Linked DNA regions of Chlamydomonas reinhardtii. The protein of the gene in region 1 binds, or shares a complex with, the protein of each later gene. Links are inferred from orthologs where the notes say so. Each region holds a gene or a part of one and is shown in the gene's direction. Other genes may lie near its edges.

The links.
Region 2: the proteins of CHLRE_07g325743v5 (region 1) and CHLRE_03g164550v5 are in contact, whole or in part, in an NMR structure (PDB 2MMA), measured with the Arabidopsis thaliana proteins. The link is inferred for Chlamydomonas reinhardtii from reciprocal best matches to the Arabidopsis thaliana genes CXIP1 and AT5G09830. Residues at the interface, in NP_191050.1 of Arabidopsis thaliana: Lys130, Ser133, Asn134, Trp135, Pro136, Thr137, Glu146, Phe147, Phe148, Asp152, Ile153, Glu156, Ala157, Thr160, Glu162, Glu165, Glu166; in NP_568217.1 of Arabidopsis thaliana: Arg46, Leu47, Leu48, Arg50, His51, Arg52, Asn55, Met62, Ile65, His66, Ala67, Leu68, Ser69, Ile70, Lys71, Gln74, Gln78.

Annotation. Positions count from the first base shown.
Region 1 is NC_057010.1:1,903,640-1,909,604, forward strand, and holds CHLRE_07g325743v5 (uncharacterized protein), read left to right. Parts: upstream 1-2,552; 5' UTR 2,553-2,752; coding exon 2,753-2,809; intron 2,810-2,896; coding exon 2,897-2,956; intron 2,957-3,125; coding exon 3,126-3,230; intron 3,231-3,829; coding exon 3,830-3,875; intron 3,876-4,444; coding exon 4,445-4,500; 3' UTR 4,501-5,050; downstream 5,051-5,965. Other genes in the region: CHLRE_07g325742v5 (uncharacterized protein), read right to left, coding at 128-217, 614-671; CHLRE_07g325744v5 (uncharacterized protein), read left to right, coding at 5,218-5,395, 5,711-5,787. UniProt on the Arabidopsis thaliana protein: May only reduce GSH-thiol disulfides, but not protein disulfides. Probably involved in the regulation of the redox state of the BOLA proteins. May act as Fe-S cluster donors to Fe-S cluster-requiring proteins.
Region 2 is NC_057006.1:3,070,393-3,076,078, forward strand, and holds the start of CHLRE_03g164550v5 (uncharacterized protein), read left to right. Parts: upstream 1-1,973; 5' UTR 1,974-2,076; coding exon 2,077-2,139; intron 2,140-2,224; coding exon 2,225-2,247; intron 2,248-2,588; coding exon 2,589-2,664; intron 2,665-5,567; coding exon 5,568-5,675; 3' UTR 5,676-5,686. Other genes in the region: CHLRE_03g164500v5 (uncharacterized protein), read left to right, coding at 518-605, 1,067-1,225, 1,535-1,816. UniProt on the Arabidopsis thaliana protein: May act either alone or in interaction with glutaredoxin as a redox-regulated transcriptional regulator, or as a factor regulating Fe-S cluster biogenesis. The GRXS17-BOLA2 heterodimer binds a labile, oxygen sensitive iron-sulfur cluster.

The DNA of each region.
Region 1 (5,965 bases):
GACAGTGTCAAGGCAGGTTGGTGAAGTCCCGTAGGGTGCAGCTGATTCCCAGACCCCAGCAGATGGCAAACAGCTTGTAAAGGCAGTGCATGAGCGCGCGGCTGGTCGAACGCCGGAGTTACTGTACCGGCGGGCACGTATGCATACGTCGCTGGGTACACAGCAGCTCCCACACAGTGTGCATGTGGCGATGCTGCTACGCACGTGGCGTATGTGCCTGTGGGCGGCAGCGTGAGGGGCGCACAGCGTAGGCAAGCAGGCAGGGCGCGACTCGATGGGCGATGGGACAGTGTTAAGGCAGGCTGGCCGAGTCCCGCAGGATGCAGCTGATTCCCAGACCCCAGCAAATGGCAGACAATTTGCACCGGCAGGGCAGGAGTGCGCGGCTGGTCGAACGCCGCAGTTACTGCTGTAGGGCGCGTCTGGAGTCGCTCGGGGGAATTCAGCCGGCGGGGTTCACGTTTGTTTGACCGGAGACCACTCGTCTGACACCCGCGCAGACGGGTCGTAAAGGATTGCACGTATACACTCACAAGACGCGCATCTATGTGGGGCAAAACTGTCTGGGTCGCGTATGCAATTGGACCTGCTCGAGCCCTGAGCTCCAACTTACCATCTATCGTGGGGCCCTGGGGCGAGCGACGCCAGAGAGCAATGCTCCTGCGCTGCATCCCTTCCACGCTATAAAGTAAGGTCATATGACTGGGCCGCTGCCGGACTTGACCTGGCGAAGCGGCTTGGTCTAGGCATTAATGATGGAACACTGTTGCCACGCGCACGCACGTGCAGTCACTAAGTCAGGTCGGTGACAGTAAGGGGCTAGGGCGAGTGTATTTAATGAACAGGGCAGCGACGCGGCTGAGCGCTCGCCTAGCGCACCGATTCCCCGTTGGCGGTTATGGGTGCGTGGTTTCCCACGACAGACAGGGCCGCGCCGGTCGGGCAGAAGCTGTGGGGTTGTAAGAGGAAGCTTATCGTATCAAGGGCCCGTTTATAGCTAAAACTACTCTGGTGCTACATGTATCACGTGAGACGCCGCTCCCGCCAAGTGGCCAACCGCCGCGTTCGGCCTCGCTCGCTACGCCTCGCTTCAGGTCCTTGGTCCTGTCTCGCGCTGGAGTCGCCGCAGCGACTACTAATTATGACAGGTTACCCACCATATGCGTATCGTGCCAGCGGCGCAAACTTTACTTTTGCAAGCAAGCGGAACCTGCTAAATGTACAACGCCTGGCTCAGGCCTGGCTTCAACGCAGTCAAGGAGAGCGGCATCAAGCCGCGCGCACGGAAGTGGTACAGAGCTCAGGGCTTCAAGGCGGGACACATACCAGGGCACAGGGACCGACAGGAACCAGTACTTCAGTAACAACACTTACAGCCCTGAGCTGGTTATTGACGAGTGTTGCGGAACTAATGCGTACGTAGACCAGAGCGGAAGGCGGAGTGGGCTTGCAGGCGGTCTAGGCGCCCTGCTGGTGGCCCTGGCACGAAATGCCCGCTCCTCCCTTCCATCGGGGCTTCAGCCCTGCTTCTCGGAGCCCTTCGGAACCCTTCGAAAGCTCCGAGTTGCTCCGTGCGCAGTCTGGCGCAGTGCACAACCAGTAGCGGTGCCGGCGCGCAGGGTGTGACCTGCCGGTGTCTGGCGAGCAGTCTTTGGTGGCGAGCATAGGATGGCACGGCAAGGTGTGTGGGGAGTCCTTACTGTTTGGTGTATTGCCTGCTGTGCTTGTGCTTGACTGCGGGACGTGGCTGCACGCATGGCCGGCCGTGCCTGTACCAGGCTACCAGCCAACCCCGCCCGGCTTTGTCCGGGCTGGTCCGGGAGATGAGATACTTTTGCAACCTTCGGCCTTTAGACGTTGCACCAACGTGGCGTGGGCGCAGCTGAGTGCACAGAGTTCAGGGGAACCGAGAGGCCATCCACAGCTGAACGGAGAGGCCTCACATGGCCCCGCGCTTTCCGCACCCCGGTGGAAATACTGTAGCCCCCTCCCCCGGAATTTAACCATAAGAATCTGACGAACTGTCCCGCTGGCACAGTGGCGTGGTAGCTTGAGCCGCCGGTGAGACGATAATTAAAAAGGGGCAGGCCCCGGCCCCATCCGGGGCTCAATTATTCGTCATCACGCTCATCCCCTTCAATCTCCAAATGCTCCTGAAGGCCCAGGCACAAGCGTACCTGATGGACGTGTGTGGCTCCATTGGCTGTCGCTGCTCTGGGTTCATTGCAGCAGGGTGCAGCGCCGTGGCACACGTTCGGGATTTGTCAGGCCAGGCATGCATACGTATGCCGCAGGGGAGGGTATGCCGTACCCCTTCGTCCCCTTGTCTAATGCGGGATGTGTTACCTTATCATTCTGTATGGCTGCTGTTAAGGTATATCCTACATCATTACCAAAAAATGAGAGGGGCGTGGGAGCAGGGGTGGGCAGCGGCGGGGGGGGGGGCGATTGTAATTTGGGGGTGGGTGGGGGGGGGGGCGGGGGGAGAACAGTACCCAGCCCAAAACCCGCAAGACTCCATCCGCATAAGACTAGCGACCCATTATTAATTCATGAACAGAGTGTACAAAGCGCCGCCAGCTACTGTCATTCTGCGTACCGTTGCCTGCCAGCATAGTGAACCACCGAGATGGCCTCGCTTCAGTGCAATATGCGTCCGGCTACCACCATTTTGACGCGGCGCCCGGCTCAGGTTGCGCGCAAATCTATTGGCGTAGCGCGAAGCCAGACTGTGCGCGTCACGGCTTCTGGAATGGCCCCCGATTTGAAGAAGTCCATTGACGAGCTTATTGCATCCAACAAAGTGGTGGTAAGTTTTGATGCACCAGGCAAAGCTCTGCCCCCAAAAGAGTTGTGTCGCTGAGACTCGGGCCATCCCCGCACCATCTACGTGCAGGTTTTCATGAAGGGCACCCGCCAGTTCCCAATGTGTGGCTTCTCCAACACCGTGGTGCAGGTACATAACACGCGAGCGGTTACACATTATGATGCGTGACTATCGAAAGCCAGACAGGACGCGGGCGCTTGGCCCGCACAACCACGTGCCGCCTTTTGCGGCTACCCTGCTCAAGCGCTGAGCAAGCGCAGCACCTTGATGCCCGCCCTTACCGTCTGTACCACAACAGATCCTGAACGTGATGGATGTGCCGTACCAGACCGTTAACATTCTGGAGGACGACGCCATCCGCAGCGGCATGAAGGAGTACAGCCAATGGCCCACCTTCCCGCAGGTACGCGCGGCCTCGTGACCAGGAGCTCGTGTTCGATCAGGGCATGTTTGGAGCCGCCGGGGCATTGGGGCTGTGAACGCAACAGGAGCTGGGGGTGGGCGGGGGCAGGGGAAGGCCGCTGCTGCTGCATTTGGCAGGCACGGCGCGTTCTGGCGATGGCCGGGGGGCCATGGTGGGGGTGTGGGATTCCGGGCGTGCGGCGGCAGTGCGACGGGACGGGCGGGAGTAGCGGGCGGCAGCAGGGCGCAGGGCCAGCAGCAGGTGGCAGCCAGTTGGCGCAGTGGCAACTGGCTGAACGCGGGATGGGTGGGCGTTGCACCGGGCTGCCGCCGTGGGCAGCTGGTTTGATGATCCCGCATGCGCCTGTGCCCTTTGCATCCCACTGCCCTCTCCTTAAGCGCCGTTGGCCGCACATATAACTCAGCCCTCGCTCTTGCACGAACACCGCACTCGGGCCTCCGGCCCTCGGGGACGGCCCTCGGGGGACGAGTCTCGGTTCGGGCGGCCCTCACCCTCCCCTACCGCAGCCCCGCCTGGCCCCGCCCCAGTATAGCCCATATTGCCCACCTCTTCGCATTGTAACTTATACATACACACAGGTTTATATTAACGGCGACTTCTTCGGCGGTTGCGACATTATGATGGGTGAGTCTTATGTGCGCACGTTAAGCTCACGTAGAGCTTGCGTGAAGCACGTTGAATAAGCCTCGCCACAGCGGCGATGGACACACGCGGCTTGCCGCCAGCCCACACCACCCCACGTGCACTCCACGTCTCCACCCGACGGCACCTGCCGCGCCTCGCCACCGCCTGCTCGGCCGCGCGCGCCACGTCTTGCGTGTGGGCCGTCCCGCGCACGTCCAGCTTCGCCACGCGCGCCGCACCGCGCCCGTTGCCACGAACACATCTTGCACCATCCGCCTCCGTCTCGCTCGCTGGCCTAGGCCTCGCCCCTCAGTTCAGTTGAAGGTTGGCATGACTGCCTCCTTTGCGTGTACGTGACGCTGATTGCCGCCGTCGTCTAACGCCTTCCTGCCTGGACGCAAACACGGTCTTGTCCTGCATCCTGTTGTCTATGGTTTCTGCCTGGGTATGCTCAGAGCAATCCCGCACCTCGCACGGGCTGCTACCCTGCCCCCCCCCCCCGGGTCTGTGCACCACTGCGCCTTCGGCTAATTGGTCATGCCTGCAAACCCCCTCTACACACCCCGCAGAGGCCTACCAGTCCGGCGAGCTGAAGGAGCAGCTGGAGATTGCCCTCAACTCCTAGAAGGGGAGAAGGGGAGGAAGAATGTGAGGGAGGAGATGGGAGGGGCGGACAGGCGAGCGGCTGCCGACAGGCTGTAGCAGCAGCCGGCACCAGGAGGCTGCAGCAGGGCAGGAGGAAGGAGGAGGATCGGGACGCAAGGTGCTATCGCGGCGGCTACTGGGGCCGCGCCGCGGCGGTGGTTCTGCCTCCCCCCTTTAGATGTGCTGGATAGCACACAGCTGTCGGGCCCAGGTGTGGTGGCGGCGGCCGGAGGAACGGAATGCGGTGCTGAGGAGGCAGGTGCGGCCGCGCTGGGTTGCTGGTCCGTGGGGCAGGCAGCATGGTGCAATACGTGTGGGGTGCGCGCGGGGGCTGGCGGAGAGTGTTGGCTTGTTTGCAAGCGTGCTTGGGCACTTGCTGCATGGAGCTTGACTTGGTATGCATTTCGGACAAGGAAGGTCACGAACTTGTCGGGGAGGCGGGATGGAGGCCGTTAAGAGATGTGGCCATCAAAACTTCCCCTTGACCCGCGCGCGCTCAATACGTGCTTTGTGTGTAACTGGGTTCCTTATGCGTTCCGCATCACCTGTTTCCCACACATCCTTGTAGCCCTGTTGCGCTTTGCAGCAAGACTGACAGCGTCGACTTTGCGCATTGACGGGAGGCGATAGCTGAGGCATTTACGCCGGCAGCTGTAGCATGGCAGGACAGCGAAGAGCAAGAAGCGGAGAGAATGCCATGTTGACAGAAGCACAAGGCGACGGGGACGGCGCCGGCCCTGGCCCCGGCGGGTCTCGGAGCCCGCCGGCGCGGCAGCCACGGCGCCTGCTGCGGCTGACGTTGCTACTGGGCTGCGCGCTTGCGGCGCACCTTGCCGGCGGCTGGGGCTCCGGCGCAGGCGTCGCGGCAGCCCCCTGTAAGCGCGGGCGGGCGGGGCGGGGAGGGAAGCGCAGAACTGGGCAGGGGGAATGACCCTTGGGCCCGGCGCTTTCGTCGCTCCTCGACTAGCTGAACGTCATGAACATGCGACTGCGAAATGCTCTAGCTCTTCTTCGTTCCATGTGCCGGCTGCAATTTTCCGAGTTGGCGCCTTGGGTTCAGACGTTCCTGGGCACTCCTCTTTCCCTTTACCCCAGCTGTTAGTCCTCGTCTCATTGCTTGCTTACGAATTTGGTCTTACTCTTTCGCCGCCTTCTTCGTGTGTGTACCCCTGATGTTTCACTGAGCACAGCCGACGTGTCGTTTCCGGGCGGCGCGGGCCACGCGCTTCAGTTCCAGGACCATGTGCTGCTGAAGACCGACTTCCGGGTGAGAGGGAGCTGCGAGGGGGGAGGGTGGGGGGGCCGTTCACGGAGAGCGGAGTGACTAGGTTAGGGGGGGGATGAGGGACCGGTGAAGGGGCAAGGGCAGGGGCAGGGGCAGGGGCAGGGGCAGGGGCAGGGGCAGGGGCAGGGGCAGGGCAGGGGCAGGGCAGGGCAGGGCAGGG
Region 2 (5,686 bases), on another chromosome or scaffold:
GGGAGGAGGAGTGTGGCAGAGTGTGGGAGGAGTGTGGGAGGGCTTTGGGAGGGCTGTGGGAGGAAGTGGAGGAGGACCTAGTTCGTTCCCGAATCAGGCCAAGCGAGCCAACCGAGGGGATAGTCCGGGAGGGAGTCAGGGAGGAGGGGGTCGACAACGCGCCAACGGTGCCGGCTGTGCGCACCGCCGCAAGCGTGGGATGTGGTCGCCTGGCCATGTTGAGGGAGGGGTGGGCCACTCGCTTTTGCGGGGGTAAACATGGGAGGTCGGCGACGTGATGATTTGTGTGTGCGGTTGCAACGGGCAGCTCCCAGTGGGTTCGGTGGCTCCTTTCGTGCGGCGGTGGGTGCCATGGTGGCTTGCTGTTTCCCGCTTCTGCTAGATGGCCATGCTGCACCACAAAAACCAAAACCCTGACATGCCGTTGCTGTTGCTGGTGCTGGTGCTGCTCTTACCTTCTGCTGCTGGTGCTGCTCTTACCTTTCGTCGCTGCTGCTGCTGCTGCTGCTGTCCGCAGCGGGCGCTATGTGGGTGAGATGAGCCTGCTGCTGCCGGAGCGGCGGGTGGTGCGCTTCAGTGTGCTGGACTTCTGGGGCAACAGGGAGGTGAGGGCGACTGCAGCGGGCGCTGGGGGCGGCCGGGCAGGGGGGCGGCGGGGCGGGGGCAGCGGCGGGGGCCGGCTCGGGGCCAGAAGGCGGGCGTGTTTGGAGGGTCTGTGGAGCAATTTTGGCGTGCGGTGCTGGGCGGCGCCTGAATCGCTGAGGACATCTCCTGGTAGGCTGGCGCGAAACTGCGGATGCATAATGGGGAGGGGAGGTGGCGCGCGCATCACCACACCGAGCTCACCGCGCCGCGCCAATTTCCAACTCCCGCACCAAGCAACCGCACCCAACGCACCAACCACACACCAAACGCACCAAGCGCGCCAATCATGATGCCCGCGCTCCGTGTTCCTCTGGCCACACACACACACACACACACACACACACACACACACACACACACACACACACACACACACCTTGTGCTCTTTAACACACACGCCGCACGCCGCACGTACACGCAGGACAACGACGTGCCTCTAGAGCGGCTGGTGCCGCCCTGGCGACAGCGCTCGGTGGCGGAGGTGCGGGGGCAGGCGCGGCAGGCGCTGATGCCGGTGTCTGTGCAGGGCGACCGCGAGTACTACATCTCCGTGCCGCACGGCCACGTGCTGCAGAAGGAGGTGGGGCGGAGGGGAGGAGGGGGGCTGGGAAGGGGAGCTGGGAAGGGGGCTGGGAAGGGGGCTGGGAAGGGGGCTGGGAAGGGGGCTGAGTACAGGAGGGGCGTGGCCTGGGGGGCTGGGGGGCTGGGGATCGGCCTCAGCAACGTGCTGTTGTGTGCGTTGTGTTTGTGGTCCATAGTGCTGCACCGGCACACCGTATGGCGGAGAAAGGACACGACATCTTCTCCTCCTACCGAAGTCCCCTGCCTCCTCTTACGCATCGTCCCTGGTTGTGGTTCGCCTGCGCCCTCGCTGCTCACACGCCCACAGCTGCTACAGAAGCTTCTCTACGGGGCGCCACTGGAAGGGGAGGCGGCCACAACCGGCGGCAGCGGTGGCGAGGGGACGGCCAGCAGCGCTAGCGGGAGCAGTGGCGGCGAGAGCGGGACCGGCAGTAGCGGTGGAGGCGGGGAGTTGGCGGGGACGCCGGTCGGGGGCCAGGGCGCGCAGGCGGACGCAGGGGTTGCAGCAGCCGATGGGGCTGGGGCAGTGCCAGGGAGCGGGAAAGCTGCAAGCACGGAGCCCGCAGCTAGCAAGGGGAGAGCGGCGTAGGACCAGCGAGTCCGGCGGGGGCGACACCGAACGCTGGTGGGCGGGGGTGTCATTGTGCTCGAGAGCGTGTGTCACTGAGCATGGGATTGGATTGGTGCGAACGCGCAGGATGCCGTAAAGACATTTTGTCAACCAAAATTCATTTGCGTTTCACTTGAGCACCACGAAACGGACGGAGCCCAGACTGTTTACGTTTACTGCAAGCTTCTTCTTGACTGCGGCCCCAAAGGTTTAACCACTTCCAAAGTCGCTCTACAAACATGAGTGTGACAGCGGATCAAGTGAAGGAGAAGCTGACGAGCGCTCTAGAAGCAACTAGCGTGGTGCGTAAAGCATGCTGGCACACGCGAATGCGCGCGCACAGTGACACATTGCTAACAATCGCTGTTCATTAACATGGCTGTACAGGAGGTCGTCGATACATCGGGAGGGTAAGCAAAGGGTTGGCGGGAAAGGCTTAGTCCAGGACAACGGCTCTCTGCGTGGGGATGGCTGGGGATGCACAGACACATGACGACCCCGGTCGCAAACTTGCTCCGTTCCCACGCAGCCTGGGAGCTAGGGGCTGGGACTGAGCGCCGCTTCGTAAAATTGAACGTAGGCTTAGGCGTCTCGGACAGCGTGGGCCGCTACCAAGCTTCACACGGGGTCTGCTGCCACAGCCTGAGGCGCCGTGTGCCCCTCGTGCGGCAACTTAGCCCCGTTGCTTAGCAGCCTTTCTGAGCCCCCATAGCACACAACATAAGCGCACTGCTCGCTCTTGTGCTCGCAGGTGCGGGTCGGCGTTTGAGGTGTACGTGGTGTCGGCCCAGTTCGAGGGCAAGACGCTCATTGCGCGACACCGCCTGGTGCGTGGCTGCTGGGGTGGCGGGGGCACGGTGAGGGGCTGCGGGATTTGGGGCATGGGCACCGAAAATGGGGCTGCTGGGAAGGGGCCTGCGGCTCTGGGGCTGGGACGGGGAGCCGTGTGGGCGGACTGGGGCAGTGGCGCTTAGCAGCCCACTTCCAGGTCAAAGGTTTACGGCAAGGGCATTCAAAGTATTACGCCGGCAGCACCTTGGCACCAGCTTGGCAAGGCCGATACGTATAGCTGCGCAAGCGTAGCTGAGGCATGGGTCCGACCGGGAAGCTTTATCACAACAGAACACACATGACAACCAGCTTCCCATCACACGACCCGCTTTTTGGCCTGGGGGAGGTGCCGGGCCCAGCCGGGGCCCACCCCCGGTCGCCTGACACCCGGCCTCTCCAGGCCATCCAATGCAATCCCAACCAGACCCGGACAGCTGCGGCGTGAAAGCGGCAATGGCGGCCGGGCGCTACGTGTCATCAGCAACCGGGTGTGGGGCGGGCGCCAGATGCCAGTGTGTGTGGGCCTTATTGCCGGGGGGACTGAAGAACAGCAAGTCAACAACCACCTGTCCCTTGCTGCCGTGACTGCCCTTGGAGTACGTGTCAGGTCCCCCCTGGCCTGAGTCTGAGATAGAGTCCCAGGCAGTCGCTCCTCGTAGTCACGCCTTGCCGCATCGTCGCACCTACTGCGTGCATGGTCTGATGCTCCAAACCACTCCCCTTCTGACATGGGTCCGAACGGGAAGCTTTATCAACTTATGAAAACGAACAGCTTCCCACTCCCACGACCCACCTTTTGGCCTCGTGGACGCTGGAGGCCAAGCGGGGCCCACCCCCGGTCACATACCCAGACTTGAGGGTCAAGACTGCCCCGCCCGTTCCCAAAATCCCAACCAACCCCACACAACTGCAGCATTTTCCAACGGCGAAGCTAGACCCGGCGTCTGACGTATAGCTAAGCTAGACCCAGCGTATGGCGAGTAGCTGGCACCCGACACGGGTAATGGAGCCGGTTGTGGCAGTGTGCGCTGCCGAGCAGTCAGCGCGGAGTGAAGGACGGAGCAAAGGCGGGTGGGGACGGCATCAGTGACCGGGGGTGGTGCGGGCGCCGGTTGCCAGTTCGTGGCAGCCTCAGTTACCGGGGAGCCTCAGCAGCTGGTCGGTGCAAGGGATGAGCAGGGGGATGGGCGTACTGCAAATAATGCCAATGCTTGCCTCCCAAACGCGACGCAGAACCCAGTACCGTAATGTTACATAAGTGCAGAGAAATGTTACGGATGCTCAGCGCGGCCTACGAGAGCTGCTGGAGGCATTGTTTGCAGCTAGTAGGCAGGGGTGGCGGGGGCACGGTGTGGGGCTGCGGGAATTGGGGTATGGGCACCGGAAATGGGGCTGCTGGGAAGGGGCGTGCGGCTCTGGGGCCGGGACGGGGAGCCGTGTAGGCGGACTGGGGCAGTGGCGCTTAGCAGCCCACTTCCACCAGGTCAAATGTTTACGGCAAGGGGTTGCCAGCAGGCCGGTGTACTTCAGGGGTGGGCCATTGGGCTGACATGGTCAGCGCCGGCGTGCCCCTCGCCGCCTCTCAAGATGGCCCAGCCGGAGCACTGCACTCGGTCCCGACGTGGGTATAACAGCCACCGCCGTGACCCGTTACACCCGGCGTAGTCACATCAGCACGCCTACCTACTGTCAGCAATCGGCATGCACTCGGACTCTAAACCACTGCTCTCCTGGCATGGGTCCGAACGGGAAGCTTTATCAACTTATCAAAACGAACAGCTGCCCACTCCCACGACCCACCTTTTGGCCTCATGGGCGTTTGGGGCCGAGTGGGGCCCACCCCCGGTCACGTGGAGACTCGGGGTTTGAGAATGGCACGCCCTGTACAGTTACAACTCGAGAGGACTGGTAATGCTGCTCCTGCGCAATGCAATGCGATGCAACTGTGCCAGTCACCTTACTGTACTATGCTTTAGCGACAAAGGCAGTGGCGTCGTGAGCCACGGCCCAGGGCGGACGGCGGAGATAAGAGTCACACGCGGTCACTCCTCGTAGCCATGCCTGACTTACCACATCTGGACAAATTGTGGACACCTACTGCGTGCATGCTCTGATGCGCTAACCGTTGCTCTTTTGTCAGGGTCCGAACGGCAAGCTTTATCAAAGTTAAAACGAGCAGCTTCCCACTCCCACGACCCGCCTTTTGGCCTCTATTGGTACTAGGGGCCAAGCGGGGCCCACCCCCGGTCACGTGGAGACTTGAGACAGACTCGCCCTGTTCAGTCGGTTGTAAGGCTACTTCTGTGACAGGCCAGTCGCGTAAATTAAGATCCGGCGGTGACTGCAACACGAGGCCCCGGTGCGACCAAGGGTGCAACACGGCGACAAGGAGGTGCGGCGTCAGCCTTTGGGCCGCCGGCGGCCAGGCTGTTGACTGGGGCCCAGCTGGAGTGGGCGGGGCGTTGGGGCCAAAGGTAACCGCGGGGAAAGGTGTAATGTGTGTGTGTGCCGCGTGGGGCCGTGGGCCATGGCAATGCCCTCACATGAGGAGGACAGGCGCGCAGCCGCGCAGCTTTCGGAACGTCATGCGTGCCGGATCACCTCAGCAACAGCTTGGCAAGGCCGATACATATTGCTGCGTAAGTGTAGCTGAGGCATGGGTCCGACCGGGAAGCTTTATCACAACTGAACACACATGAACAACCAGCTTCCCACCACACGACCCGCTTTTTGGCCTGGGGAAGGTGCCGGGGCCCAGCGAGGCCCACCCCCAGTCACACTTGGCAGCAGAGCACGCAGCTGTGCCCGCACTCCTAACAAGCCTCTCATTACCATTCCGTGCGCCGTGCATTGGTCTGATACCGTACTCAACCGCACCCCCGCTGCGGCCCCTGCACAGGTGAATGACGCCCTGAAGGCCGAGATGGCGCACATCCACGCGCTGTCGATCAAGAAGGCACAGACGCCGGCGCAGGCGGCGGCGGCGGCGGCCCCTGCCAGCAGTTGATGCGGCGGCAC